3 linked regions of the Anolis sagrei genome follow. The protein of the gene in region 3 purifies or fractionates together with the protein of the main gene of each other region. This does not show direct contact. Links are inferred from orthologs where the notes say so. Each region holds a gene or a part of one and is shown on either strand. Other genes may lie near its edges.

Region 1 (10,376 bases), on a different chromosome or scaffold from region 3:
TGCTATTTTGATATGACTGTCTTTTTGCTCTGTTGTGAACCGCGTTGAGTCGCCTACGGGCTGAGAAACTGCGGTATACAAGTAAAGTAAATAAATAAATAATAAATAAATAAGGTCAAGGGGAAATTTAACTTTATGGACATATGTGGTGGGAATGTTAAAATGTAACAACTTTTTGGGTAAATATAATTTAAAATTGAGAAATTATTCGAAATTCCAATCCAGGTAAACATGGAATTTATGTTAATGGCCATACAGTAATAAGGAACCAAAAAATGGGTAGAAAGAATCAAGCAATGGTCCTAACAGGAAAGGCGGTAATAGCCTGGGGATAGAGAGATGAAAAAATGGAATTTGGAAAACTGGAATAACTATTTATTTGAGCAAATACAACTGGACATTATAGCATGTGTAATTCAAGAAGGTACACATGAGGATAAAACAAGGAAAAATAAAGGTAAATGGGAGATTTACAGTATATGAAATTGATAGAAGATGGTGAAGCCAGTATATTGTACAAAATTGAGAAAACTGTGCTCATGGTTAAAGATAAAGATATAGATGAAAATGTGGTGGAGAGAGGGTGAAGGGATTGGGGGGGGGGAGAGAAAAATTAAAATGTAATGAGAAGAATTAATTTTGTAAAGAAGGTGAATTGATAATATAGAAATAATGTAATATTTAGAATGTATTTATTTATTTATTTATTTATTTATTTATTTATTTACATCACTTATATCCCGCCCATATCAGCCCGCAGGCGACTCAGGGCGGTCTACATATCAGCACAATTCGATGCCATCAATATAATACAAAAGCAAAAACAATTAAGTGCATTTAGACAAAAAAGACAGTGCAATAACAATTTAAAAAGAGCTATATCCTCTCATTCCAATCCTCATCCGTTTCATTGTCTTGGCCGTTCCTGGGCCATACTCCATCTCAAGCTTGATTATATATACAAAGTTGTTAATTATCTACTCACAGACTGTGTTACTATGCACTCAATAAAAATTATTTTTAAAAATTATCATTTTTTCCATTGAGGTATGCCATCTCATGATGTGTCCACAGCACTTCAATTTAGCTATCTTAGCTTCTAGTGAAAATGTAATAATAATAATAATAATAATAATAATAATCTTTATTTATACCCCGCCACCATCTCCCCAAAGGGGACTCGGAGCAGCTTACATGAGGCCAAGCTCGGCGATACACTACAGCAAAATAGAATACAGAACAACAAAAATAACATTGCAATAAAATAAATAAAACATTCAGGTAAAATAAACAGTGCAAAATAACAATGGAAAATCAAACACAGTGGGCAAGCCAAATGCACGACATAAAATGATAAAACTCTGAGATAGCAATGAAAAAGGTATATTTGTGGGGGAGGAGCTCGTAGGGGGTGGAACCGTGGAGTTAGGCCATCAATAAGGTGAGGGAAATGCAATATGAGGAAAACACTGTGGGTGAAACAACAAGAAAGGAATATATGGTCACTCTCCAAAGGGACATCTTTTTTTCAAAGATCCATTCATTTTGTTGTTTTAGTAATCTATGATATCCATAAAATTATTTTCCAGCACAACAACTGTTTAACCCTTGTAACAAAACAACCAAATACAAATATTGTCCTTCTCTAACAAAAATGCAAGAGATTTATTGAGAAATACAGTATAGTAGGTTTTTTCTCAGATCTTTCATTTCAACTATGTTACTGTTTGGGGAATGTGTCAGTGTCTGTAAAACACATAATTTTGTCTAATAACAAAGCTAGAAAAAATATTTGTAATGTAATGTAATGTCAGCAGTAATTGAACGAAAAAGCTCCCTGGACCTTTTAAAATATGTAATATTTAAAACTAAGGTGTAATATTTGCAATAGACATTCACATTTGCGTTTTGAGACATTATTGCAAACCATCCTGATCTTCACTATAATTTAGTGTTTGTGTGTGTGTCATACTTCCCATTCGGAATGATTCAACATCACTACAGGCTGTCCAAAAAATCACCATACATAAGGAAAATGGGAAATTGGAGCTAAATGTACCTTTATTTACAAAATATTCATTACACATTTTTACAAAATATTCTCTACATTTTGGCCACCTCTTTCTACACTAACACACACAAAGTGTAATTTTTTCCTATGTATGGAGACTTTTGTGACACCCTATAGAGATACAAGTGCATTAGCACTACTTCATCAGTTCTGAAAAGGAGATGTACCTATAATCTCGGGGCATTAAAACAAAGCTGGACTTGCATAAAACTATTAATGTGGGATCACCAAAAATAATTTAAAAATAGATTGAAAATAGCGAATTGCATACTCTATATAACTCTCATTTTGACCTCATCAACAGGCTGTGCCACATAATAATAATAATAATAATAATAATAATAATAATAATAATAATATGGAACCAAGCATTTGGAGAGTAGTTACAGTGCAATATGCAGCTACAAAGTTAAGATGGTTGGAATGGCTTTTGGATTATGATTTCAGGACGACGTGCTATGCTTTAACTGCTTATTTAAATGTATTTATATCTTTCTGCTTTTTTTATTTTAATGTATTTATTTATTTATTTATTTCTGACATTTATATCCCATCCTATCTCGACTTCCGCAGAGGGACAACAAAAGCATAAATATACATCTTAGGTCAAAACAGTATAAAACATTATAAAAACATAAAAACAGTGAAACATTAGAACAATCGGCAGAATTAAATCGTCGTCCTACACACAGTCCAATTGAGTCCATTAAACCATAGCTCTACCATCATGTTGCTCTAGTCTGCTGATCCCACAGCCTTGATTTCACCTTTTTCCGGAAGGTCAGGAGCAGGTCTGATTTTACTCAGGAGGGAATTCCATAGCCAAGGGGCCACAACAGAGAAGGCCCTGTCTCTCCCCCTCCCCCCACAACCGCAATTGTAATGATGGGGGGGACAGAGAGCAGGCCCCCTCGAACAATCTTAAGGTCCTAGGTGCTTCGTAGCGGGAGATACGTGTGGACAGGTAAACTGGGCCAGAACCGTTAAAGGCTTTATACTTACTTTCTTAGGCGATTCCTCGTTGTCCGAGTAGGATAGTCTTCCATGATCAGTGTGCTGGTGGATCCGTAGGTGACTGTGCAGCCCTATTTTTGATCTGCATTGTCTCCCACAGTGAGGGCATTGGTTTCCAGGTGGAAGGCGGTCTTGGTTGGGGTTGGCTTGACGCGCCTTCCTCTTGGCACATTTCTCTCTTTCACCCTCCATTCGTGCCTCTTCAAATTCTACAGCACTGCTGGTCACAGCTGACCTCCAGTTGGAGCGCTCAAGGGCCAAGGATTCCCAGTTCTCAGTGTCAATGCCAGAGTTTTAAAGGTTGGCTTTGAGCCCATCTTTAAATCTCTTTTCCTGTCCGCCAACCTTCCGTTTTCCATTCTTGAGTTCGGAGTAGAGCAACTGCTTTGGGAGACGGTGGTCAGGCATCCGGACAACGTGACCAGTCCGGCAGAGTTGATGGCGGAGGACCATAGCTTCAATGCTGGTGGTCTCTGCTTCTTCCAGCACGCTGACATTTGTTCGCTTGTCTTCCCATGAAATTTGCAGGATTTTCCAGAGGCAGCGCTGATGGAATCGTTTCAGGAGTTGCATGTGGCATCTGTAGACAGTGCACGTCTCGCAGGCGTAGAGCAGAGTTGGGAGGACAGTAGCTTTATAAACAAGCACCTTGGTCTCCCTCGGATTTATTATTATTATTATTATTATTTATTATGCCCCAGTCCTCAAACACTCTCTGCTTCATTCGGAAAAAAGCTGCACTTGCAGAGCTCAGGCGTTGTTGTATTTCAGTGTCAATATTGACTTCTGTGAAGAGGTGGCTGACAAGGTAGCGGAAATAATCAACATTTTCGAATGTTATACCATTAAGCTGTGTTTCTGGCATTGGAGAGGGATTGGCTGGTGACTGCTGGAAGAGCACTTTGGTTTTCGTATGATATTGTTTCTAGCACCCACGTTTTGCTTGATATTCATACGAAAGCTGACTGGCACAACCTGGGGATCACAACCAGACACAGTGAAGACATCTGCCCTTGCACTATGCTACTCTGCTGCTGAGTACGCATGCCCAGTGTGGAACACATCTCACCATGCTAAAACAGTGGATGTGGCTCTTAATGAGACATGCTGCATTATCACGGGGTGTCTGCGCCCTACACCACTGGAGAAATTACACTGTCTAGCCGGTATTGCACCACCTGACATCCGCCGGGAAGTAGCAGCCAATAGTGAAAGGACCAAATGTAGTGACATCTCCTACTCATCCCTTGTTTGGGTATCAGCCAGCACATCAACGACTTAAATCAAGAAATAGTTTTCTTAGATCTACAGAGACACTCGCTGGAACACCTCAGCAAGCGAGAGTCCAAAAGTGGCAGACTCAAACCCAGCACCTCAATCCATGGGTGATACCAGATGAGAGACTCCCTCCTGGGCACACAGAAGTCTGGGCGACTTGGAAGGCGCTGAACAGACTGCGCTCTGGCACCACGAGATGCAGAGCCAACCTTAGGAAATGGGGCTATAAAGTGGAATCCATGACATGCGAGTGTGGAGAAGAACAAACCACTGACCACCTGCTGCAATGCAACCTGAGCCCTGCCATATGCACAATGGAGGACCTCCTTGTGGCAACACCAGAAGCACTCCAAGTGGCCAGATACTGGTCAAAGGACATTTGATCAACTACCAAGCTTGCAAATTTTGTGTTTTGATTGTTTGCTTTGCTCTGTTAGAAATGTAATACAATTGTCTGGCTGCCCCTGACACGATAAATAAATACTTTGGTTTGATCGATGTTCAATGACATGCCGAGCTTCTCCGTGAAAAATACTAAAACCTATTATGCTGAGTTTCCTAACTGGATATTTTAAGTTGATTTTAATAATGTGTGGGATAGAAAAGTTTGGCCTTCCCTCAAATATCAACCCAGAATGGGAAAATTCTATTCTGTACTTGGCCTGAATCTTTTCCATCATTTCCCGAAGCCATTTCTACCTCCAGGGACCACAATCCTCCCGCTGCGCAAGCTTCGCAATTTTTTCCTTCTGCCATCCCGTTGTTAGAGCTAGCTTTGATGTCGTACGCGCAGATTCGCGAGGCTCCCATTTTGTCACGAGAGGAAAAAAATACCCAAAGAACCCCCGCTCTTTCCGCTCAACATCCTTTAACCCCTTCTCAAGCAAGAACTTCCATTTTCAAAGCGGAGCCTTTTAAGTCGGAAAGTGCGAGTCCGGAACGGCCGACCAGTTTCCTTTTTCCCCCGTTGCGCCTTGCTCTTGTAAGATTTAGGCTGCTGTTTAGAATCGAATGATTCGTCTCTAGGAGAAAACAAAAAAAGGAGATTCTTACGTTCTATGGAATCACACGGAGACTTTTTTAAAAAAGAAAATCATATATTGACGTAGTTATAATGAGTCTTTTCCTCCTCATCTAATTCGTTCTCTACAGTGTGACGAAAGTAATTTTCATTTTCAAAGCAGAGCCTTTTAAGTCGGAAAGTGCAGATACGGAACGGCCGACCAGTTTCCTTCTTTTCCCTTTGAGCCTTGCTCTTGTCAGATTTAGGCTGCTGTTTGGAATCGAAAGATTCGTCACTAGGAGAAAAAAATAAAGGAGATTCTTGCATTCTATGGAATCACACGGAGACTTTTTTAAAATCATATATTTGTGTAGTTCTAATAACGGGTCATTTTTCCCCCTTTATCCAACTCGTTCTCTACAGTGTGACGAAAGTAACATTCATTTTCAAAGCAGAGCCTTTTAAGTCGGAAAGTGCGGCTCCGGAACATTTGAGCCTCCCTCTTGTAAGATTTAGGCTGCTGTTTGGAATCGAACAATTCGTCACTAGGACTGGAAACAAGAAAAAAAAAATCTTACATTCTGTGGTAGAACCACGGGGAGACTTTTAAAAAAATAGTATAGTTGTGTAGTTATAATAATCATTTTCATTTTTCCCTCCTTCGTCTAACTCGTTCTGTACAGCGTGGCGAAAGTGCGGTTGAGGAAACGGAAGGAGGAGAGAACAACAAACCAAACACCGTCACCATAGAGAAGAACAAGGGTGGCGACGACGAAGGAGAGGGGGAAGCAGGATCTCGCGAGACCCGGCGAGAGTCTCGAATCGGAGGTTTTGGCCCCGCCCACTGGTCCCTGTCGGCAGCGGCGGTGGCAAGAGGTAGCGGGTGCTTGTCACCCTTTTCCCTTCTTTCCCTTCTCCCCACCTTCTCTCGCTCGCTCTTCCTCAGACCTCGGCTTGTCCTCTATGGGCGGAGAGCGGGAAGAAGGCCGCGAGTGGGAGAGAAGAGACTGAGAAAGGCAGGAGGGTGCGCGAGCCAGGCCGGGCCGAGAGGGAGGGAGGGAGGGGGAGGGGGAGGGGGGCGTGCGCGCGCCTGGCTCCTGAGAGAGAGTGAAGGGAGGGGGGAGGGGGCGCGCGCTCTCTCTCTTCCGCGAGGCGCCAATGACGGGTGGGGGGGGGGGGGGCGAGGGAGCGGGAGCGCGCGCGGGGGTGCACCTGGTGGGCGGGGCCGGGCACTGGGCCTGGTTTTGTGTGTATGTGTGTGTGTGTGTTGTTTTGTTTTGGTTTTATTTTGGAGGATGGAGGGCTGGGAAGGAGAAGATAGGATCCTGTCTTAATCTGTGTGTATCTGCATATCGGTATGTCTATCTATCTATCAGGCATGGGTAAATTTGGGCCTCCCTCCAGGTGTTTTGGACTCCAACTCCCACCATTCCAAAGATCCAGAGGAATAAGATAGGATCCCCCCCCCCCCCCCGTATATATGTATGCACATCTATCTATCAGGCATGGGCAAACTTGGGAGAAGATAGGATTCTCTCTCTTCTTTCTCTCTCTGTATATATGTATGTATGCATATCTATCTATCTATCAGGCATGGGCAAACTTGGGAGAAGATAGGATTCTCGCTCTTCTTTCTCTCTCTGTATATATGTATGCATAACTATCTATTTATCAGGCATGGGCAAACTTGGGCATCCCTCCAGGTGTTTTGGACTCCAGCTCCCACTATTCCTAATATCCAGAGGAATAAGATAGGATCTCCCCCCCCCCCCCCCGTATATATGTATGCATATCTATCTATCAGGCATGGGCATACTTGGGAGAAGATAGGATTCTCTCTCTTCTTTCTCTCTCTGTATATATGTATGTATATCTATCTATCTGTCTATCAGGCATGGGCAAATTTGGGCCTCCCTCCAGGTGTTTTGGACTTCCAACTCCCACTATTCCAAAGATCCAGAGGAATAAGATAGGATCCCCCCCCCCCCTCTCTGTATATATGTATGCATATCTATCTATCAGGCATGGGCATACTTGGGAGAAGATAGGATTCTCTCTCTTCTTTCTCTCTCTGTATATATGTATGCATATCTATCTATCTATCAGGCATGGGCAAACTTGGGCCTCCCTCCAGGTGTTTTGGACTCCAACTCCCACCATTCCTAACAGCCATAGGGAGAAGATAGGATCTCCCCCCCCCCCCCCCTGTATATATGTATGCATATCTATCTATCAGGCATGGGCAAACTTGGGCCTCCCTCCAGGTGTTTTGGACTCCCAACTCCTACTATTCTTAACAGCCATAAGGAGAAGATAGGATTCTCTCTCTTCCTTCTCTCTCTGTATATATGTATGCATATCTGTCTATCTGGCATGGGTAAACATGGGCCTCCCTCCAGGTGTTTTGGACTCCAACTCTTCCAATTCTTTGGAAGCTTTTAAACAGAGGTTGGCTGGCCATCTGTAAGGGGTGATTTGAATGCAATGTTCCTGCTTCTTGGCAGAATGGGGTTGGACTGGATGGCCCATGAGGTCTCTTCCAACTCTTTGATTCTATGATTCCAGTTGGTTTGGACTCCCACTATTCCTAAGAGCCATAGGGAGAAGATAAGATTATCTCTCTTCTTTCTCTCTCTGTATATGTATGCATATCTATCTATCTGACATGGGCAAACTTGGGCCTCCCTCTAGATGTTTTGGACTCCAATTCCCACTATTCCTAATAGCCAGAAGGAGAAGATAGGATCCTCTCTCTCTCTTTCTCTGTATATATGTGTGTGTGTGCATATCTATATATCTATCTGGCATCGGCAAACATGGGCCTCCCTCCAGGAGTTTTGGACTCCAACAGCCAGAGGGAGGAAGGAGAAGATAGGATCCACCTCTCTCTCTCTGTATATATGAATTTATATCTTTCTTACTATCTGCATGGGCAAACTTGGGCCTTCCTCCAGATGACTTCAACTCTCACAATTCCTAACAGCCAGAGATAGGAGGGAGAAGATAGGATTCCCACCCCCACCCCCCTTATATATGTATGCATATCTATCTATATATCTATCTGACTTGGGCAAACTTGGGCTTCCCTCCAGGTGTTTTGGACTCCAACATCCCCCCCCCCCAAATATATATATTTGTGTGTATGCTTATCTATATATCTTGCATGGGCAAATTTGGGCTTCCCTCCAGGTGTTTTGGACTCCAACACCCCCCCCCCCATATATATGTATGCATATCTATCTATCTTGCATGGGCAAACTTGGGCCTCCCTCCAGGTGTTTTGGACTCCGACTCCCACCATTCCTAACAGCCTCAGGACCCTTCCTCCCCCCCCCCCCCCCACAACAGCCTCAGGTCCCTGAGGGGGGAAAGGAAAGGTCCTGAGGCTGTTAGGAATGGTGGAAGTTGGAGTCCAAAATACCTGAAGGAAGGGTCCAAGTTTGTCCATCTCTGATGTAGATGTGAGGCCTGTACAACTTGTGGCCCTCTTTGTGTTTGGGGCCCCCAACTCCCAGGAGGCCTAGCCAGCTTGCCCAATGGTCAAGCATTCTAGCAACCAAGGGCCCAAACCACAGGCTGTGCAGGCCTGATCTATAAGGTATTAGTAAGTGTGGGATACAAGAGGGGGGAATATTTCATTTTATATATATAGAAAGAGAGATAATGTGGTATAGCATGGAGAGGTGGTGAGGAGAAAGTCCTGATATATATGGAGTGGAGGAGAAGCAAAGTAAGATTAACAGATATATTTTATAGGAAGAGACTGGTATTGCGTGTCTGTGTATATATATCAGGCATGGCCAAACTAGGGCCTTCCAGGTGTTTGAGACTCCCAACTCGCAGAAGCACTAGCCAGCTTGCCCAGTGGTCAAGAATTCATAAATCCCTGGAGAGCCACAGGTTGTGCAGGTCTGTTCTATAAGATATGGGTTAGTGTGGGATACAAGTGGGGGAAATATTTCATTATATATATATATAGAGAGAGAGAGAGAGAGAGATGTAGTATAGTGTGGAGGGGTGGTGAGAGAGTTCTGATGTATATGGAGTAGAGGAGAAGCAGAATAAGATTAAGATATTTTATGGGACGAGACTGCTATAGTATGTGTGTATATGTGTATATATATATACACACACACATATACACATAGTCACCTACAGATCCACCACCAAGATCCTACACTTGGAAGGCAATCATACTTGAACACGAGGGATCGCTGATGATGATCTCTCTCTCTCTCTCTCTCTCTCTCTCTCTCTCTCTCTAGGAAAGTGGTACTTGCAGGGCACAAATGGGGAAAATATTTCATGAGGAAGAGGATGTGGGATAGTGTGATTATCAAGGGAGGACTGTGGGAATATGTGTGTGTGTATAGAGAAAGAGAGGATAGGGGTAGGTGAAGGGTTCAATTGGGAAAATATTTCATGGAAAGAGGATGTATATTTTGTGTCAAGAGGTGGCAGAGGCAATATAAGTGCAAGATACAATTGAGAGAAATATTTCATAGGAAAGGGATTTGGTATTGGCAGAGGGAGGAACCCTAAAAGTACTTTAGATATAGAGATAGGTGTGGGGTACAAGTGGGGAAAATATTTCATGAGAAGGAGAATGTGATATAGTGTCGTAGTGGAGATGGGGAGGTGACAGAGAATCCTGGGAATACTGTATGTGTGTGGATAGATAGGGAGGTAGAGAGCTAGAGGCAGCAGGGTAAAATTAAGGGAAGGGGATGTGGTATAGCATGTGTGGAAAGGGGGAGAAGCTGAATCATTTGGGGATCCTCTAGGACTAAGCGTTGAACTTGGAGGCCCAGGTATCTGCGGTAGCCAGAAGGGCCTTTGCTCAATTAAAACTTGTACACCAACTTCACAGAAGCCAGATCTGGCCACAGTGATCCATGCCTTAGTTACATCCCATCTGGATTACTGTAACACTCTCTATGTGGGGCTGCCTTTGAAGAGTGTTTGAACACTTCATTTGGTCCAAAGAACTGCAGCTAGGTAGCTCACTGG
Region 2 (10,849 bases), on a different chromosome or scaffold from region 3:
CACCCAGTTTCTCATCCGGTATCAGCCATGGATTGAGCTTCCAGGTTTTCACTTGCCACGTTTGGACACTTGCTTGCTGAGGTTTTCCTGTGAATATCTTTCTAGACCTTAGAAAGCTGTTTCTTGATTGAAGGCATTGGTGTGCTGATATCTGAACAGAGGATGGGCTGGAGATGTCACTTGGTATAACTATGCCTATTTTGATGTATATCCATATTTATGCTACTTAAAATATTAATAAGATTTGATCACAGCTATCACCTTTTAAGCCATGTTGCTTCTCTCAAGCACTCTAATTGTATTATCTATTCCCATGGAAAGGTACAATAGATATATATTGGCCATTTTGATCAAAGGCCCCTAAATACTTCTAAAATACCTGACATTTTAAATTCTTTTGTTATTTCAATTGTTTCATCTCTTTTTCAGATTAAAAGCGGAACTGGAGGACATGCAGATGGAAATGGAGAATGTCAGCATTGATGAGAATTAACATGGTTTGTAGAGTGCTAAAATACAGGATGGGGTACAGGTTAAGTGGTTTTAATAATTCTCAAAAAGCTATCACATATCGCAGGAACATATGATCCTCTAGGTCAGGGGTGTCAGATTCATTTTAATCAAGGAGCACATCAGCCTTATAGTTGCCTCCAAAGATTACTAAATCCATGGATGGAGAATCTGTGGATACAGAAGGCTGACTATTTCTTTTTAAAATAGTGGATGGTGCGCTTTACTTTTAACCCAGTTTGGGTCCCCAGATGTTATTAAACAACAACTCCAGTCACTTTTATTTCCAGTCTGCGTGGCAGACTGGAACGCAGTCTTCCACGCAGACTGGAAATAATAGGAATTCCAGCCCAAAAGCATTTGTGGCTCTGAGATTGGGGAAAAATTAAAGGACATTTTAAATTCAGACACAATTTGGATACAACAAGCCTTGTATCCAAATTCAAACCCCACTGGAGTTTGTTCTGACTAAACAGAACAAACTCCAGCCTTTCAGATGTTAGTGCAGCACAACTATCAGCTCTAGTAGTGATCTCTAGTGAGGAACATATCTGGAGGGCAACATAACATGACATGGGCCTAGAGTTTGACACCTGTGCTCTACCTGTTGTTGGACTGCAACTTCCAGCATTCCAAGACAGCAAACCCAAAAATAAAGGATGATGGAAGCTGCATTCCACAATATCTGAAAGGACATTTCCCATTTCTGCTGTACAATAACCTAATATCAAGGTAAAATAGCAAACTTGGTATTATAGGGATGGTAAGAGATTACTGGAACAAGAGGAAAACACTGAACAACATGAGGTGGACTCTTGGGTTTCAAAGTTGGCTATGTAGCTATGCTAATTATTCCAAATCTGCTATGAAGTATAGGATATCTTCTTGCTCTGTCAAAGATTAGAGTAGAGGTGAGCAACCTTCAATAGGTTTAGACAGAAGCTCCCACTCCTCCATTCAAAAGAGGAATCTTACTGGAATAACAGAACTAACCTTTCATTTATTCTCTCTCCACATTGGCAGATTCATGTGAGCTGGAGAAGCCTTGCTTTGAAGAAAAATCCTTATCTCAATGGAATGGTTCATTTCGACCTTAACAAAGCATTCATGAAAAAATCCTGTTCCTTCTCCGGTTAATAGTAATTAATATACATATTCATTCAGATCTTAGCATTTGTTGTGCCAAAGACTTTACTATAAAATCATATTAAAAGGAACCACTGATCCAAAATTCAATTGTAACTTCATTAACAGAAAATCTTGATGTTTGCTTGTTACATCAGTTGAAGCATATTTTATTTCAGTTGTCTGTGTCCAAATAAACAGATTTAACAGGTTTTTGAAGGACCAATCAGGTTTTTCATTGGAGGAGATGATAATGGTACAGAAAAGTGAATGTGTTAAGTTATAGTTAGTATTATCTCTGTTGGGCATCAGTTAAACAGAAGGGGACTTCATACTAATTTTTTGGATTTGTAATTCTGCGCTCAAGAATTTTGTGAAACTTTCTAACAAAAACCTAGCACCTTGTTTATTTTTTAGTCCAATTTTTGGTTTACTAAATAATTTTAAGGAAGAGAATAGTTGGAGATTTGCTTTCTTCTTTAAGATTTCTTCTGTACAATCCTCTAACTTGAAAATGTGTCCGAGAGAGATAAGGATGGGGCAGAAGTACCCAACCACCAACAGCAAGGAGTTTTCCTGAGTGATTGGGAACCACAGAAGAAAGAAACCCATGGTCAGCAGGCACAGATCTGGTTACTGGTCTTTCCTGAAAGTGGGGACATTTTTTGAGATAAGTAATGGCAGGTGTTCATAGATAACAAGCTAATTTCTTTCTTCAGAAGCCCCAAGGATAAGGTATACTTGCCATGTCAGCCTGGAGCTCATGTAATTAATTCTCTCTCTGTACAACTTGTTTCCATGGGAGTGGGATTTTTTTTTTTTAAAAAAAAACTTCATCCTGGGCTTTTTGCTCAAAATTCTCTTCCTTTTTCTTACTTACTGTTGCCAAAATGTGTCCTAATAGTAATTGTTCTGTTGAATAAAAATCTAATTCTAAGGGCTCACAGACCCAAAGACATTTAAGATAACAGCAAACTCTTGCATTTGTTGCTCTTATATTTGTGAACTGCATTTGTGATTCTCCTGATGGGATCAGGTAGCTGCCTACAAGGCACTAACCCTGTCTGATGGGGGCTGGTACAGTTTAGGTGATGTGTCAAAACTTCGTTCCATAGAGGTTTTCCAAACTTGAAATGCAATTTCAACCCTGGTCCTTAATTTTGTTTCTAATGTTTGTTGTTATACATATTTTTAATTATTTCTAAATTTTAAGTTGACCTAGACCTAGAGGCTCTTTTTGAGCCAAATGGTGAATTAAACACAGTGTTATCAATTAATTATTTCTAGGTACTTCACTATTATATCAGGTGTTACCAGCCACAGTTTAGACAAACACTCTCAGCCTTTTGTATGCACAGGTTCAACCATCCACAGCTTGAAAAAATATTTTCAACTCATTAAACAACCCTATTTTACTATGCCATTTTAAAATAACAGGACTCCAGCATTCACAGATTTTGATATCCACAGGGACCAAACCAGCAGACATCAGGGGCCCACTGTACTTATAACATTGAACTCAACCATGTAGGCATTAAGCACAGATAACATCTCTTCCCATATGCATTTTCATTGCAACTCTTGCACTGGCTATAACGAAAAACCAGACAACTGCAAAATTTGAAACTGATGGCTTGAATGCCACATTTATTAATCAATTCTTGAGCTTATATGTAAGGTTCTCTAAAACTGCAAGACCATGTGTTTAAAAATAAACCATGCAAAAATCATTCAAATAAACAATGGTCCCCAGCCAAAGACATGTTCATATGCCTTCAAATACCTTAACTATGAAAAACTTCAATAACCCGCAACATCTCAACTACAAAAGATTCAATGTGAGATTAAAAACTGATCTAACTAAAATTTCCTTTTTGGCAGAATCGCTCCAGCAAGCATATTGTTCTATCTAGATAAATGTTATTTCAGGTCTTATCAATAGTGAACAGCTTAAAATAATAAAGACTGCAGCAAATGTTTTCTCTAAAAATAAACCCGCAGCATATTGAACGGCATTTAATGACTCTACAGAAATATTATGCAACTTCTCTTCCCTAGATACAGGATCAATCTGTGCTCAAAATATTTATCCATTTCAATTTTTGAAAATACTCTACAGAAATCTTGGGAGGGAAAAAATCAAATCTTCAGCTTGCAATTGGACAAAAATAAGCCAAAACTAAACTAACATCACTTCTGTAAGCCCCTGGCTATTGTGTTTCATTTGGAAGATCTGCGAGGTGTGCGAAGAATACATATTGGCAATCAAAAAAACCTTGACACTTTATGCCAGTTTTAAAACATCACACATTTGCTAACATATTTATCAGAAAAAATGAAAAGCTGAGGGTGAAATACCATATTTCATTGACTGAGATACAGCCCACTTTTGAAGTTCCAATTTAGGGGGAAAACCTATTTGAACTTTGATTTTTAGATTTTTTTTTTTATAGTCCTCACCCCAACTTTTCTTGTTTCTCTCTCTGGATTTCCTGGCCAGCCTAAAGCCTCCTCAACCTGTACCTGATGCTGTTATCAGCTGGTGCATAGTTTCTCATCTCTGGGCTGCCACTTTTTGAACCTTATCACGCTACAGCAGTGGTTCTCGACCTGTGGGACCCCAGGTATTTTAGTCTTCAACTCCCAGAAATCCTAACAGCTGGTAAACTGGGATTTCTGGGAGTTGTAGGTCAGAACACGTGGGGATCCACAGGTTGAGAACCACTGTGCTAGAGAATGGATCCATTTTAAACCAGTGGTTCTCACCCTGTGGGTCCCCACGTGTTTTGGCCTTCAAATCCCAGAAATCCTAACAGCTGATAAAATGGATGGAATTTCTGGGAGTTGTAGGCCAAAACACCTGGGGACCCACAGGTTGAGAACCACTGCTTTACATCCTGTGGATGCCTCCCGCAGAATTCTGGGGTTTGTAGTTTAATGAGGTCCAGGACCTGCCTGGCTGAGCATTTTAAAGGCCCTTTCTCTAAACTACAAATGCCAGAATTCTGCAGGAGGCAGACACAAGATTTAAATGGATAGGTGCTCTAGGTTGATGAAATCCTTAATTACTGCTGTCACTCTAGTATGGTCAGTTTTTTAATAAGGGAGATTGGAGCAGCAGCTGAGATGGGGTCTTTTGCTTGCTTCGCGAAAGCATTTTTCACTGGCTTAGAGTGGCTAGAAGACCTGGACCCAGAATCTGGCTTCTCTCTCTCTCTCTCTTTCTTTGTGTGGCTTTGCCCATTGGGAGTGGAAGTGGCAGACCCAAGTGGCAGACCCAAAGAGAGGAGGAAGACTGGAATAAGGAAGCCATGAGTGTGAGGCAACAATGGAAAGGAGGAGCAATGGAGAGCTGCTACTTCACACTCCGGGTGCACAGGACTTCGTCTCATCTCTTTTCTGCTGTTAGAATGTTTATTTATTTACTTACTGTATTTGTATACCGCCTTTCTCAGCCTGCAGGCGACTAAAGGCAGTCAACAGGGCAAAATTCAATGCTTACAATGTCTTGTTGTTGTTCATTCGTTCAGTCGTCTCCGACTCTTTGTGACCTCATGGACCAGCCCACGCCAGAGCTCCCTGTTGGCTATCACCCCCCCCCCCCCAGCTCCTTCAAGGTCAGTCCAGTCACTTCAAGGATGCCATCCATCCATCTTGCCCTTGGTCGGCCCCTCTTCCTTTTACCTTCCACTTTCCCCAGCATCATTGTCTTCTCTAAGCTTTACTGTCTCCTCATGATGTTCCCGAAGTACTTCAACTTTGTCTCTAGTATCCTTCCCTCCAATGAGCAGCCGGGCTTTATTTCCTGGAGGATGGACTGGTTGGATCCCCCAGCAGTCCAAGGCACTCCCAGAACTCCCCTCCAACACCACAGGTCAAAAGCATCTATCTTCCTTCGCTCAGCCTTCCCCAATGTCTTAAGTACAATTAAAAACATAAATAACATATAACAAAAACTAAACAAATCAATAAAATATAAGTTTATAGTGTCTCCTTGTTAAAAACATTGTACGGACTCTTTGTCTAATCATTCCATTTTCACATGTCAGTTATTCTGCATTTGCAAATGCTTGTTCAAAAAGCCACGTCTTGACTTTTTTCCGGTATGTAAAAATGGAGGTGGCCGATCTAATACCTGTAGGGAGGGCATTCCACAGCCAAGGGGCCACCACCGAGAAGGCCCTGTCTCTCGTCTCTGCCAAACATACTTGAGGCGGTAATATTTGCTGGATGGCTGAATAATGCAGTTTTCCACATTTAAAAGAAAAGAGAGAGAGAGAGAGAGAGAAAAGGGGGGGGGGGTTAGCAGCAACTTTGAGTCTATGGTTGCTCCTACACTATTAAACGAATGCAGTTTTGACACTGCTTTAACTGCTATGGTTTAAACTTGGGATTTCCAGCTTGATAAGACACCAGCACTCTTTGCCAAGATAAGGCAAAAGACCTTATGAGACCAGAAATCCCAGCATTTGAAGCATGGCAGGTAAAGTGGTGTGAAACTGCTTTCAATCTACAGTGCAGATGCAACCATAAAAAGGGCTGCTAAATGACACCCCCTTAATATTTTTATTTATTAAACTGCATTATTCGAGCGATCCAAACATAAAGGACAGCTTGACATTGAACAAGACAAGCGCTGACAATTACCAGTCAAACCATTCTTAACACCACTAATATCCCAATGCTCCTCCCGTCGTTGCAGTGACTGAGCCACGCTCATGTGCCTTTTTTTCTATATTTCTTCTATCGGCTCCGGAAGCGGAAGCGTCGAGAAGTCACGCTAGCTTCGAAGCAGGACGTTCTAGGAAGTCAAAACAAACAAAAAAATCCCAATGGAACGGCGGCTCCCTTCGCACGCGCCTCCTCGGACTCCTCCTTCAGCGAAAGTCCATTGGCGAGAAGGCGCCAGGCCGCCATTTTTAGCGTAGTATCTCCGAGGCGTCTAGAACTTCAACTCCCAGAATTCCTTATCGTTGGCCGAAGCATCCGAGACTTCTGGGAGTTGAAGTCCAATTGGAGTTTGGGCCTCATTTGGCATGGATAGTCTTTTCTTGTTGTGGCTAATACCGGAAACGGAAGTAGTCGCGGGCAGGCGCTCTGGCCTACTATTGCCGAGCGTCTTGTCGTCTTGTTTCAGAACAAGGGAACTGGCCGAGAGAGAAAGGAAGAGAGCGGGAGATCATGGTGAGGAGGAGGAGGAGCCGGCGGCATTGGGGTCCGCCATTCCCTCAGCCCGGCCTTCCGTTGCTGAGGGCGGGAAGGAGGGAAGCGTCTGTGGGGGGCTCTGGGTTTCCTTCCCAGCCTAGGGAGCCAGTGCTCATGGGCTCCACCCTGGGAAGGGCACTGACCACTAGCAGGGGCCTGGCTCTGTCTTTACCCAGAATGGCTAGCAAGGACTCTCCTGGGTGAAGACAGAGCCAGGCCCCTGCTGGTGGTCAGTGCTCTTCCAAGGGTGCATCCACACTATAGAGTTAATGCAGTTTGACACCGCTTTGACGGCCATGGCTCCGTGCTATGGAATCTGTCGTTTCGTAAGACCCTTGGCCTTCTCTGCCTAAAAGTGCTGGTGACCCCTCGAACTACAACTCCTGTGATTCCATAGCGCTGAACCTTGAAAATGGTGTCAAACTGTATTCATTCCACAGAGTAGATGCACCTCCTCTCTGTCAAAGAGTTTTGCAGAGCCGTTGACAGGTCTTTGGCTTTTGGGAGGCTCCTTTGTGCAGTGATTCTTAGTCTCTTGAGTGCAGCTTGCTCCATGGTAGGTATGCACAAGTCTGCAGCTTTATTGTTGTTGTTGTTTTGTAGAAATCTGTCTGGAAGTATGGAGGTGAAGCAAATGTCACTGCAAAGATCGGCGGCTAGATTGTTAACTGGAGCAAGTTACAGAGAGCGGTCAACCCTCCTGTTTAAATATCTCCACTGGCTGCCGATAAGTTTCCAGTGCAGGTTATCATAGAATCATAGAGTTGGAAGAGACCTCATGGGCCATCCAGTCCAACCCCCTGCCAAGAAGCAGGAATATTGCATTCAAATCACCCCTGACAGATGGCCATCCAGCCTCTGTTTAAAAGCTTCCAAAGAAGGAGCCTCCACCACACTCCGGGACAGAGAGTTCCACTGCTGAACGGCTCTCACAGTCAGGAAATTCTTCCTCATGTTCAGATGGAATCTCCTCTCTTGTAGTTTGAAGCCATTGTTCCGCGTCCTAGTCTCCAAGGAAGCAGAAAACAAGCTTGCTCCCTCCTCCCTGTGGCTTCCTCTCACATATTTATACATGGCTATCATATCTCCTCTCAGCCTTCTCTTCTTCAGGCTAAACATGCCCAGCTCCTTAAGCCGCTCCTCATAGGGCTTGTTCTCCAGACCCTTGATCATTTTAGTCGCCCTTCTCTGGACACATTCCAGCTTGTCAATATCTCTCTTCAATTGTGGTGCCCAGAATTGGACACAATATTCCAGGTGTGGTCTAACCAAAGCAGAATAGAGGAGTAGCATTACTTCCCTGGACCTAGATACTATGCTCCTATTGATGCAGGCCAAAATCCCATTGGCTTTTTTTGCCGCCACTTCACATTGTTGGCTCATGTTTAACTTGTTGTCCACGAGGACTCCAAGATCTTTTTCACACATACTGCTCTCAAGCCAGGCATCCCCCATTCCGTATCTTTGCATTTCGTTTTTCCTGCCAAAGTGGAGTATCTTGCATTTGTCACTGTTGAACTTCATCACCTATAAAGCTCTAAACGGTTCAGTACCTGGCTATCTGTGTGACCGCCTCCTCCCTTACGAGCCCACGCGGTCCTTAAGATCATCCGGGGATGCCCTTCTCTCGTTCCCGCCCCCGTCTCAGGCACAGTTGGTGGGGACGAGAGAGAGGGCATTCTCGGTGGTGGCCCCCCGTCTCTGGAACTCCCCAGGGAGATTAGGCTGGCACCCTCCCTAGTCACATTCCATAAGGAATTAAAGACGTGGATGTTTCGCCATGCTTTCGATTGACGACTTCTATGACAAATGGCCTGTATCATGACTTGAATTGTCATTCAATCTGATGTCCTATATTGTATTAACTATTGTCTGTTTCCGTGATTTTTCCTATGCCGTTATACATTGTCATCTACCTTACTAAACCACTTTATCCTTTAACTAGCTCACGTAGTGGTTTTCCTCCCCCACTCCAAAATTAGTCTGCTGTTGTTGTTGCTAGCTATTTTTGTTATGTTGTTTTATGCTGTTTTAATTGTTATTGCTTTATTTTAATTGTATTCTGCCTGGGCTTGGGCCCCATGTAAGCCGCCCCGAGTCCCTTTGGAGACATGGAGGCAGAGTAGAAAAATTAAGTTTTTCTTCTTCTTAAATGTGTTTGCCATGATTCATTTTTTCTCTTCTTCTGTGCAACTCAGGATGAATTTTCTGACCCAGATCTAGCTGTTCTGGGCGAGGAGTCCAAATCAGAGAATGGAGAGAACGCTCCAGTTTACTGCATTTGCCGCAAACCAGATATCAATTGTTTCATGATGTGAGTATTTCTGAGGGAATTTTTAAAATGTCATCAGCAACTTGAGAAACTGCAAGTCACTTCTAGTGTGAGAGAATTGACTGTCTCTAAGGACATTGCCCAGGAGACGTCCAGATGTTTTACCATCTTGTGGGAGGCTTCTCTCATTTCCCCACATGGAGAGCTGGAGCTGACAGACGGGATCTCACCCTGTTCCCTGAATTCGAACCACCAACCTTTCGGTCACTGGCACAAGGGTTCAATACATTGTGCCACTGTGGCAACATTTCATTGGAATACAGTACATTCCCTGTATCCGGGGTGGGGTGGGCTGTGCTGCTGCATCTGCACAAGGCCTGGGCAAACTTCAGCCCTTCAGTGTTTTGGACTTCAACTCCCACAATTCCTAATAGCCAGTAAGCTGGCTGGGATTTCTGAGAGTTGGAAGTCCAAAGCACCTGGCAGAACGAAGTTTGCCCATGCCTGATTTACACTGCAGGGCAATAATATGATAGCTGGGTCCCTACGCTAGTTGCGCAATGCAGGTCAGAATTAATGAAGGGGACATGTGCATGAGACAGTGGAGCGAGTGAGAGATGCCGCTGCAACAGGATAACAGTGAAGTAATTTAACTCAGGAGGGACAGGATAAGGGTGAGGTAATGTAACAGTACTTCCCCTCTCCTTTTTATCCTTCCTTCCATTGATCGTCTTTTCCTGCTCCTTTTTATCCTTCCTTCCATTGCATCGACTCCGCTGCAGCTGCGTCTCTAACTTGGCGCACTCACTTGCGCACCTGTTCCCCTAATTTAGACCCACGTTGCGCAAGCAGCATAGTGTAGGGTCCTAGCTATCATACTATTGCTGCAGTTTGAATCCACTTTAAATGCTATGGCGTATTTCTGTGAATCCTGGTGGTTGTAGTTTCACAGTCTTTCTTTATCCCCCCCCCCCCCACTCCAATGCTGGTACTTCACCAAACTACAACTCCCAGTATTCCATAGCATTGAACCATGACAGATAAAGCGATGTCAGACTGCATCAGTTCTATAGGGTTGGTGCACTCCTATATGGGAACTCACAGATAATACTGAATCCTATTGAAATGAAGGGACTCTTTACTAAGAATACCCATACCCATACCAACTCTGTCACTCCTTCCCACCTGCTACTAAGGAGGCTGTCGAGGTCCTGAACCGGTGCCTGGCCGCTGTAACGGTCTGGATGAGGGCGAACAAACTGAAACTAAATCCAGACAAGACAGAGGTACTCCTGGTCAGTCGCAAGGCCGAACGGGATATAGGGTTACAGCCTGTGCTGGACGGGGTCGCACTCCCCTTGAAGGCGCAGGTTCGCAGCTTGGGTGTGACCCTGGACTCATCGTTGAGCCTGGACCCCCAGGTTTCAGCGGTGACCAGGGGAGCATTTGCACAGCTTAGGCTCGTGCGCCAGCTGCGCCCGTATCTCGGGAAGTCTGACTTGGCCACGGTGGTACACGCTCTTGTCACATCCCGCCTGGATTACTGCAACGCTCTCTACGTGGGGCTGCCCTTGAAGACGGCCCGGAAGCTTCAGCTGGTCCAGCGTGCGGCAGCCATGTTACTAACTGGAGCGGGTAGCAGGGAGCACACAACGCCCTTGTTGTCCCAGCTCCACTGGCTGCCGATTTGCTACCGGACCCAATTCAAGGTGCTGGTCTTGGCCTACAAAGCCCTAA
Region 3 (10,842 bases):
CATTCTGACCTATCATTTAGAGGCCAGTTGCTTTTACCTGTGAACCTCTGACATTCTGCATAGATCCTAGGTCCATAATATCCGAGGGATGGAACCCTCTTTGGAGGCTTATAAATGTGCTTGAGAAAAGACTTTCAGAATAAGGATGCAGAGGATTCTTTTTTCTCTAAATCATAAAATCCTAGAGATGGAAGAGACCTCAATGGAAATTCAGTCCAACTCTCTTCTGCCAGGTAGGAAGACACCAGCCAACCCCTCCCTGACAGATGGCCATCCAGCCTCCACTTAGTAACACTATGAAACAGGTTGTAAATGTCATTTTCTAAGTAGTTCTATCAGAGAAACATGGGAAAGTTTACTAAAATGAAAACTTTGATTTTGTGGAATTGACATCCTGCAGCACATTTTGCTATAGTTTTTCAATTAATCTCATTGAGTCTAAACCAATTCAACAGTCACAAAAAGGAAGATTCTGGAGTATAAAAACTACTTTTAAAGCAAGTACTGCATAATTAAAAGGAATACTTTCAATCCAGTACAGATTTTTTTCAAATTTTAGGACATGATGTTTGTTTGTTTTTTTGTCGTGTCAGGAGCGACCTGAGAAACTGCAAGTCGCTCCTGGTGTGAGAGAATGGCCGTCTGCAAGGATGTTGCCCAGGGGATGCCTGGATGATTTGATGTTTTTATCATCCTTGTGGGAGGCTTCTCTCATGTCCCCGCATGAGGAGCTGGAGCTGATAGAGGGAGCTCATCCGCCTCTCCCCGGCTTCGAACCTGCGACCTGTCGGTCTTCAGTTCTGCTGGCACAGGGGTTTAACCCACTGTGCCATCGGGGGCTCCAGTACATGATGTAATAATAATAGAACGACAGAATCCTAGACTTGGAAGAAACACCAAAGGCCATCCAGCCCAACTCCCTTCTGCTGTGCAGGAAGACACCATCCAAGCCCTCCCAACAGATGGCACCCAGCCTCTGCTTCAAACCCTCCAGAGAAAGATCAGTGCTGGATCTGACACAATTGCTAAATACCCTCACCTTTTAGATGTGAAAACTACCTCAGTTGATGGAAACAAGGCCAAGCTAGCAATGTGGGGAAGTTGCAAGAAGAAAACCCATAACACCTCCCTTCATTGTTGAGTCAGGCCAGGAATTGGACTGGGAACACAAAGGTTTTTTGTGCCCAGATCCAGCAAGTGACTGAGTTTTTTCAGACACATGCAATTACACTATGTAACATAATTTGGTTTTTTGTCCTGTTCCTGGTTTGAAAAGTGCTATTTCCTGTTTAATTGTGCAATACTTACTTTGAAAGTTGTTGTTCTATTCCACAAACTTCGTTTTTGTGGCTGACAAACTATGTTGCAATTGATTTGACTCTTTTATCATGTATTCCTTGAAAAACTAGAGCAAACTGTACTGCAGTTCGTCTCTCACAGCAACAAAGTTTTTGCACTTTGATCCACTTTTTCCATGCTTTTATGATAGAACCAATTACAAAATGACATTTATAACCCAGGGACAAAAAGTGTTACATAGGGTTACTGTTTACACATTTGTATTATTTTCCGTGTTAGCCGCTTTGTATCTCCTTTGAGAGAGAGAAAAGCAAGGTATAAATGCATGCACATAATATTTTACAAATTGCTTGGTTTAATTCGATTTTAGTGTTTCATAGTCTTGAATAATACTGTAAATGGTACAGCTTGTAGCACAGTTCTGTTCACCACTTTGAGTCTCTCGCAAGATTGAAAGAGACATATAAATAAAATGGTATTATTAATGTAAAGATAAAGGTTTCCCCTTGACATTAAGTCTAGTTATGTCCGATGCTGGGGGGTGGTGCTCATTTCAATTTCTAAGCCGAAGACCCAAACAAGAGCTGGCATTGTCCATAGGTGCCTCAAAGGTCATGTGGCTGGCATGACTGGATGGAGCGTTATTATTATATTACTATTATTAGTAGTAGAAAAGATTACAGATTAATAAGTGGAACTTCTTCCATTTCCAAAAGCCATATTTGGTAACCAGATCCTGCTAGCAGGCGTCACCTATGAATTATTAATAATATTATTATATTAAGTAATATTATGTCCTGCTTGTATTTCTCAAGAAGGTGAGATATAATAATGTATAATAAAAGGTACACCAGAAATAGCATTATTATCATTGTATGATAGTATTTTATCTTCACAAGAAGTGAATGAATTTATTTCCAACCTATTAACAGCAGTGAGACTGATAACTGCAAAAAAATGAGAAGATAAAAGCAAAATTCAACTGGAAGAATGGTATAGAGAAGTCTGGAACACAGTGAATAATTACTGTACTATTTTTGGATGATGGTTTGGTGTCAATTTAATATGTTTGTTTTAGTTAAAACCTTTCTATGGAACCAGGCCTTTTCTGAAATTCAACAACAGGCAATGGCCAGATAGATACAAGTACAGAAGAATCTCACTTATCCAACATAAACGGGCCGGCAGAATGTTGTATAAGTGAAAATGTTGGATAATAAGGAGGGCTTAAAGAAAAGCCTATTAAATGTAAAATTACATTATGATTATGTTACAATTTTACAAAGTATGCACCAATACATCATGTTTGACAACAAATCAACTGAAAAAGCAGTTCAATACACAGTAAAATTATGTAGTAATTACGGTATTTACAAATTTAGAATCAAACCAAACAAGGATTATTTATATCTCCAACAATGGACTGTGTTAGATAATAGAACGTTGGATAAACAAGACTCTACTGTAATTGTATATTTTTTGGAATGCTATTTTGGACCGGCAATATTTTAACATGGCCTAAAGGAAATGGAATTTTTGGGACCCTAGGATAAGTCTTTTTAATATTATCCTTAATGGCCTGAGAGTCAGGGAACTTTTAATGGTACGGTGGCATGTTATAATTTATTAATTTGTCAAATTTTGGCTTATGTAGTGTGTATCTTTGTTTTTGTTGACTCAAACAATGATGGATCTGGACCAAACTTGGCACGAATACTCCATATGTCCAAATATAAACACAGATAGCGTTTGGGGAAAATAGACCTTAACATTTGGGAGTTGTAGTTACTGGGATTTATAGTTCACCTACAATCAAGGAGCATTCTGAACCCCAACGACGACAGAATTGGGGCAAACTTCCCACACAAACCCTCATGACCAACAGAAAATACTGTGTATTATGGTGGTTTTTTGTGACCCTTCTGACACCCCCCTGGTGACCTCCCCCCCCCCCCGTCTTGACTTCCCACGTTGAGAAATGCTGCCTTAAGGCCACCCAGTCCAACTCCCTTCACCAGGGCAAGAAAACATAATCAAAGCCCTCCTAACAAAGGGCCATCTGGCCATTCACACACACAAATATATGTATACTAGCTGTCCCCTGCCACGCGTTGCTGTGGCCGAGTCTGGTGATCTGGAAAATAAAGTAATGAGAAAATGCTAGTTTTTAATATATGTAATTCCTTTATGCTTGTAGGTAAAGCAGTATTTCTTGCTGTTTCTTTGTCACTGTTGATGTGGAGATTGTTTGGTTTGCCTACTCGGAAACATATAATTGTCCTTCTTTAGGGGTCCCTTTCAAATCTAGGATATTATATCTGTGTGTGTGTGAATCATATACATCTATCTATATCTATGGCTGAATGGCTCTTTGTCAGGAGGGCTTTGATTATGTTTTCTTGCCCTGGTGAAGGGAGTTGGACTGGATGCCCTTAAGTATTTTCTGTTGGTCATGGGGCTTCTGTGTGGGAAGTTTGCCCCAATTCTCTCATTTGAGGGGATCAAAATGCTTTTTGATTGTAGGTGAACTATAAATCCCAGTAACTACAACTCCCAAATGTCAAGGTCTATTTCCCTCAAACTCAATCTGTGTTCATATTTGGGCATATGGAATATTTGTGCCAGGTTTGGTCCAGATCCATCATTGTTTGAGTCCACAGTGCTCTCTGGATGTAGGTGAACTACAACTCCCAAACCCATGGCCAATGCCCACCAAACCCTTCTAGTGTTTTCTGTTGGTCATGGGAGTCCTGTGTGCCAAGTTTGGTTCAATTCCATCATTGGTGGAGTTCAGAATGCTCTTTGATTGTAGGTGAACTATAAATCCCAGCAACTACAACTCCCAAATGACAAAATCATAATTTTTGAGTGATGGTCACTCCTTGTGTAGTGAGACGTTTTGTTGCCAAATTTGGTGTGATTTTGTTCATTGGTTCTTTTGTTTTTAAGGTACTCATTATGCACAGAGCATATATAGATAGATAGATGACAGATGCAGTATCAAAGGTTTGAAAGGGACCCCTAAAGAAGGACAATGATATGTTGCCTGTTCCAGGGTAGGCAAACCAGACAATCTCCACATCAACACTGACAAAGAAACAGAAAGAAATACTGTTTACTCACAAGCATGAAGACATTACATAGGTTAGAAAGTAACACTTTCTCATTATTTTCCAGATCACTATACTGGGCCACAGCAACGTGTGGCAGGGGACAGCTAGTATAATAATGTATTTATTGAAAAAAGCAAATACATCCTGGCAGCCTAAAGGACCTCCGACTTTAAATCCTCTTAAAGGAGTTCTATCCTTGTACTCAGCACAAGGCTGTGTTTTTTTAAACAGGGATTTTAAAGGGATTTATTCCAAAGGTCAGAGGCCAGAAAGCACGTGCTCGGCCTCCTTAGAAAACAACAGATCCCTTCTAAGAGAAACCTCAGCGATCAATTATTAATAGAGTGGAATATAAGGAGCAACCACACACACACAGACCCAGACACAATTGTTTCCGACCTCTCCCCCCTTTAGGCCCAATCCTCGGCGTGGCCTAGAAAACAGGCCCGAGACTGAGGAGGCCTCGTCCCAAGCGGGAGAAAATGAACAGGCAGGCCTTGACGAGGAATACCTGTGCTGTCGGCCACGTTCCCCACAGAGGCCGCCATGGCTTCCGCTGCTCCTCCTGCTTCGAGGCCGAAAGATTGTCTGACTGACTCACTCCGCGCCTCGCTTGCCCAAGCGGCGTCTCCTAAAATGGCGGCTGAGAGGCGGAGGGATGCAAGGCCTGGGCGGATCTTCTTCCAAGGAAAAGTAGTCCCTATTCCTAGTGCGGATGGGTGTGTTGTTTCCCTTTGTTTCCCTTCCTGACGTTACTCTGAGCCTTTCCTGCTCTGCTCTCTCTCGTATTCTCTCAACATTTCCAACAAGAAAAGGGACACGGAAAAAATATTGTCAAATCACCTCTCGGATCCACAGTATTCCTCCGCCAAACACTGCGACACATTGGCGCAGCGCGCATGCGTATTAGAGCTGCCTCTTCTCGTAAACGGAGGGGGTTCGAAGCGAGGAGTGACGGGAGAGAAAAGGGCGGGAGTTCGACTGCGGCAAGAGACCCGCAGCCCCGCCCCTTCTCCTCTCGCCACGGTGCAGTTTTCCCATAACCGGAAGTGACGGCATCTCAGGCGCCAGGGCACAAAATGGCGGATTCTACCTCAGTGATAACATTCCCAATGGGGGAAAATGTGGAAAACAACACACAAAAATAGCTATCTCGCACACAAAAATAAATAAGATAAAATAAATAAAGGACAACACTTAGAAAACAGGAAATCCTGACAGGAAACAACTAGGGCCAGCTAACACCTCCTAACAAAGGATTCCCCAGGGAGGAAGCTGCCAGGCCATTCAATGCTAATCAACATGGCTGTGCTGTCGCACGCTGGGCCTGTGCAAAAGGTCTGGAGAACAAGCCCTATGAGGAGCGGCTTAAGGAGCTGGGCATGTTTAGCCTGAAGAAGAGAAGGCTGAGAGGAGATATGATAGCCATGTATAAATATGTGAGAGGAAGCCACAGGGAGGAGGGAGCAAGCTTGTTTTCTGCTTCCCTGGAGCCTAGGACGCGGAACAATGGCTTCAAACTACAAGAGAGGAGATTCCATCTGAACACGAGGAAGAACTTCCTGACTGTGAGAGCCGTTCAGCAGTGGAACTCTCTGCCCCGGAGTGTGGTGGAGGCTCCTTCTTTGGAAGCTTTTTTTTTTTTTTGAAGTAAATTTTTATTAAAGTTTTCAGATAATATGGGGTTACAGGGAAAGAGTGGGAACAATATTCAAACAGAAAAAGAGTGAAAGAAATAAGGTAGACTTCTTTGGAAGCTTTTAAACAGAGGCTGGATGGCCATCTGTCAGGGGTGATTTGAATGCAATATTCCTGCTTCTTGGCAGAATGGGGTTGGACTGGATGGCCCATGAGGTCTCTTCCAACTCTTTGATTCTATGATTCTATAAGACTGTAGACAGGACACAAACTCTCTGTGCCCAACGGGATGCCGGGGCTGCCTCAGATTAAAGGCCCTTGGATTTCCTTAAAACAGAGTCTTTAGATTGCTTAAATGTTCAACAAAGTTCTTTATTATTAAAAACAAACAGGTACTTTAAGGCTTTCTTAATAGTCTATTGGATCTCTCTCAATCTTGTCCACAGGGAACAGGCACTATCTTCATAAACTGTAACTAATGGGGAAATCCTTAACTTCTAATCTGGACAGTCTGTCTTTGCCTCTGTTGGCGTGGAGCCCCTGCACCCGGTACCAACTGCTTCTGGCTTCCGCGAGCGACCCTTACCAAGCAGAGCTTTGTAGACTTCCAGGGGAAGGAGTTCAGGTTTCAGTGATGGCTGGCTGAAGTCCTTCAGCAAAGGAGCTGTAAGGCTGTATAACCCCAGTCAGGCGGTACACTGTATATCTCCCGGCCAAACCGTAGAAGACAAAGCTTTCTACAGGAGCTCTTGGTATTATGTCCTGCATGAAAGACTTCTCTGTGTGGACTGGACTCAAATTGGCTCCTATTCCCTCCAAAACCCAAAAAGGGGGGCGGGACTAGGGAACCTAACTATAATTGACAGGCAGCTTGCCCTATGATTGCAGCCAAAAGAAGCCTCTTATCTGCAGAGTCCCTGAAACTTAGGACTATAACAAACATTAAATGCAAACCAAACAAAATTGGAACTCCTGCCACAGTTGTACCTGCACAATAGCCAATTTAAACATTCACACTTGCCTCCAACAGACAATAATAATAATAATAATAATAATAATAATAATAATAATAATACTTTATTTATATACCACTCCATCTCCCCAAGGGGACTCAGAGCGGTTCCCAAGTAATATCACAAAACATCAGAGTAAAAACACTATAAGATTAACAAACAAAATATAAGCATAAAAATCGTCGCCATAACACACATATATAAAAAGTAATCCTGCCTGTTCAAGGCAATTAAAAATTTAAAAGGCCAGGCCAAGATTAGTGCAAGCCCCAAAATGCTAGGGCCCCCGAAAATTAAGTGCAATGCTATGGCAGGCAAAAATAATATGAGGTACGGGTCTGTGGCTGTTCATTCCAGGGCCAAATAGAGGAAAGAATCTGGGTAACTGGTAGGAAGAATAAGGCCGTATTAGACAATGTGTGGGGCTGAGTTAGAACTGGTCATTTTCAAAGGCTAGTTCTTTCTCCCACCCTGGACATTATTCCACATGTATATAAACTCCACTTGCCTCATTTCCAACAGACCTCACAACCTCTGAGGATGCCTGGCACAGATGTGGGTGAAATGTCAGGAGAGAATGCTTCTGGAGCGTAGCCATAAAGCCCGGAAAACTCTCAGAATCCCAATAAACTCTCCATTAGGGTTGCCTTTGGGCTCAATGCATTGAGGCAAGTGGGATGTCATCCAAGTCAGGCTAAATCTATCAAGTCTTCCTTCCCTCAAGACTCCTTTCCCCTGCTTTCCTTGTTGTTGTTGTTCATTCGTTCAGTCATTTCTGACTCTTCGTGACTTCATGGACCCGTCAGAGCTCCCTGTCGGTCGTCACCACCCCCAGCTCCTTCAAGGTCAATCCAGTCACTTCAAGGATGCCATCCATCCATCTTTCCCTTGGTCGGCCCCTCTTCCTTTTTCCTTCCATTTTCCCCAGCATCATCTTCTCTAAGCTTTCCTTTCTTCTCATGATGTGGCCAAAGTACTTCATCTTGGCCTCTACTATCCTTCCCTCCAATGAGCAGTTGGGCTTCATTTCCTGGAGTATGGACTGGTTGGATCTTCTTATGGTCCAAGTCACTCTCAGAACTTTCCTCCAACACCACAGTTCAAAAGCATCCCTCTTCCTTCGCTCAGCCTTCCCTAAGGTCCAGCTCTCACATCCGTAGGTGACTATGGGGAATACCATTGCTTTAACTATGCGGATCTTTGTTGCCAGTGTGATGTCTCTACTCCTCACCATTTTATCAAGACTGGTCATTGCTTTCCATACTTTGATATTAAACAAGGCTTTTTGAATTACATTTTCATTGCATTTCACATGCTTCAAAAGCCTATCCAGTAGATCCCAACATATTTATGAAAATCCTCTGTGGGCACAGTCTTGCACAGGAATGCCCCCAAAGTAGCCCCTTTCAGGTGGGGCCATGTGCCAAACAGGGATGGGGTGTTAGATCCCAACCTTATTTCCCATCTTCACCGCTATGATTCTGCACTGAAGGGGACAAGAGACAAGGGCCTGATTTAATTTGATTAATGAATAGCAATACTATGAAGAATGTTGTTGTTTATTCGTTCAGTCGTTCTTCGAGACCTCCTGGACCAGCCCAGGCCAGAGCTCCCTATCGGCAGTGGCCACCCTCAGCTCCTTCAAGGTCAAGCCAGTCACTTCAAGAATACCACAACTTAGACCCTGGGTGTCACAAACAGATGAAATCTGGAGAGATTCAAGAGGAAAGCAGCACACTCCCAGACTCCCAGGGCTTCCTCAATGTCTTCCAAAGGTCCTCCATGCCTCAACCATTGTTTGTTTGGGGCTTTGTCCTCCCCCCCCCCCCCCCGGTTGTTGTTGCTTATTCGTTCAGTCGCTTCTGACTCTTCATGACCTCCTGGACCAGCCCACGCCAGAGCTCTCTGTCAGCCGTCACCACCCCCAGCTCCTTCAGAGTCAAGCCAGTCACTTCAAGGATCCCATCCATCCCTCTTGCCCTTGGTCGGCCCCTCTTCCTTTTTCCTTCCATTTCCCCAAGCATCATTGTCTCCCCTAAGCTTTCCTGTCTTCTCATTATGTGGCCAAAGTACTTCATATTTGCCTCTAAGATCCTTCCATACAGAGAGCAGTCAGGCTTTATTTCCTGGAGGATGGACTGATTGGATCTTCTGGCGGCCCAAGGCACTCTCAGAACTTTCCTCCAGCACCACAGTTCAAAAACATCTATCTTCCTTCGCTCAGCCTTCCTTATGGTCCAGTTCTCACATCCATAAGTTGCTATGGGGATAACCATTGTGTTAACTATGCCTATCTTCATTGCCAGTGTGATGTCTCTACTCTTCACTCTTTTATTGAGATTGGTCATTGCTCTCCTCCCAAGAAGGAAATCTTCTGATTTCCTGGCTGCAGTCTGCATTTTATTTTATTTTATTTGCCATATTCTCAGCCCAAAGACGACGCAGGGCAGTTCACAGTTGGCAAAAAATAAAACAATCAACAAATAAAACAATCATAAAATACTGTTAAAACATTTAGCATAAAATATAAAAATATAAAAAAGACCATACAAAGCTGTAAAAACATTGTTGTGGGCATCTCCTTGTTAAAATCATTATTCAATTGCATCGTCAGGTCGTTCCATGATTTTGTGTAATTATTCTGAGTTAGCAAAGGCCTGCTAAAAAACCCCTGGTTTTAACCTTTCTTCGAAAAGTCAGGAGGGAGGGGACCAATCTTATATCCCTGGGAAGGGCATTCCACAGTCAAGGGGCCACCACTAAGAAGGCCCTGTCTCTCGTCCCCGCCAACGCATCTGCAGTAATCTTCATGGCTAGAAATACAAATTCTGTCACTGCATCCACGTTTTCTCCCTCTATTTGGCAGTTATCAATCAGTCTGGTTGCCATCATCTTGGAGTTTTTTTTGGGGTTTTTGGCGTTTAACTGCAATGTCCTCATTGTGAAAGAAACACAGTACAGATCCAGAATAAATCTCTATAGTCACTTATGGACCCAGCGCCAAGACTCTGCTCTTGGAAGACAATCAGACTCACAGGCCACAAGGGATTCCCTATAGCATAACAGTAGTAATATAAATCAGTATTGCAAATAACCACTAGGTCCCCTATACAAGAGTATCAATATAACCAGTAGATTCCCCATAAACCAGTATTGACAAGAAGATTCCCAGTTATGTTTCCCCCATTATCTGTCTATTTTCCTTCTGTATGGTGTCTCCAAAGGGCTGCAGAGCTCCAGCCTCCATGAAACAGAACAGATTATACAGGAAAAGGTTTATTCACGGTTTGGCAAGTCTTTTGACACATCGGGTCCTGAGCTGTAAATACAGCATCTGTGCTGAAATGTTGTTTGGGAGCGAAAGGATCTTGTGACCAAACAAGTATGACTCACATCAGCCCCTTAATACTCACACAGACTTACATCGACACATACACACACAAACGCGAATTTTCACAGAGACAAACTGACTCACATATCATTTGAAAATATACAATTTTACAGGTAAAAAATGGGACCGGGAGTAAGTCTGTTTTGTACAGGGGAGAAAAATAATAGAAAAGGTACAAATATGAGCAAGGACAAAACAGAAAACAAAACTAGGGGTGGAGCTCTGATTAGCAGCAGAAGATATCCAAATTTCAGTGGAGAAGAAACAGCAAAATGGTGTCGATCAGGCCTCAGAAAGGTGTTGTTCATGGTGAGATGGCTTTACTCATCTGAGTCCAGATCACTGTCTCCGCCAATGGATTGGAAGTCCTCACTGTCTTCCTCATCCT

The links.
Region 1: the proteins of OGT (region 3) and SETD1A purify together in Homo sapiens (affinity purification with mass spectrometry; 4 studies listed by BioGRID and IntAct, with this or other methods). This does not show direct contact. The link is inferred for Anolis sagrei from reciprocal best matches to the Homo sapiens genes OGT and SETD1A.
Region 2: the proteins of OGT (region 3) and CXXC1 purify together in Homo sapiens (affinity purification with mass spectrometry; 3 studies listed by BioGRID and IntAct, with this or other methods). This does not show direct contact. The link is inferred for Anolis sagrei from reciprocal best matches to the Homo sapiens genes OGT and CXXC1.

What each region holds. Positions count from the first base shown.
Region 1 is NC_090026.1:14,486,162-14,496,537, forward strand, and holds the start of SETD1A (histone-lysine N-methyltransferase SETD1A), read left to right. Parts: upstream 1-6,099; 5' UTR 6,100-6,242; intron 6,243-6,255; exon of another isoform or gene 6,256-6,390; intron 6,391-10,376. UniProt on the Homo sapiens protein: Histone methyltransferase that catalyzes methyl group transfer from S-adenosyl-L-methionine to the epsilon-amino group of 'Lys-4' of histone H3 (H3K4) via a non-processive mechanism.
Region 2 is NC_090022.1:193,732,817-193,743,665, forward strand, and holds the start of CXXC1 (CXXC-type zinc finger protein 1), read left to right. Parts: upstream 1-6,591; 5' UTR 6,592-6,816; coding exon 6,817-6,819; intron 6,820-9,038; coding exon 9,039-9,154; intron 9,155-10,849. Other genes in the region: synaptonemal complex central element protein 1-like, read left to right, coding at 430-493. UniProt on the Homo sapiens protein: Transcriptional activator that exhibits a unique DNA binding specificity for CpG unmethylated motifs with a preference for CpGG.
Region 3 is NC_090030.1:21,091,269-21,102,110, forward strand, and holds the start of OGT (UDP-N-acetylglucosamine--peptide N-acetylglucosaminyltransferase 110 kDa subunit), read right to left. Parts: upstream 5,058-10,842; 5' UTR 4,961-5,057; coding exon 4,924-4,960; intron 1-4,923. Other genes in the region: TAF1 (transcription initiation factor TFIID subunit 1), read right to left, coding at 10,775-10,842. UniProt on the Homo sapiens protein: Catalyzes the transfer of a single N-acetylglucosamine from UDP-GlcNAc to a serine or threonine residue in cytoplasmic and nuclear proteins resulting in their modification with a beta-linked N-acetylglucosamine (O-GlcNAc).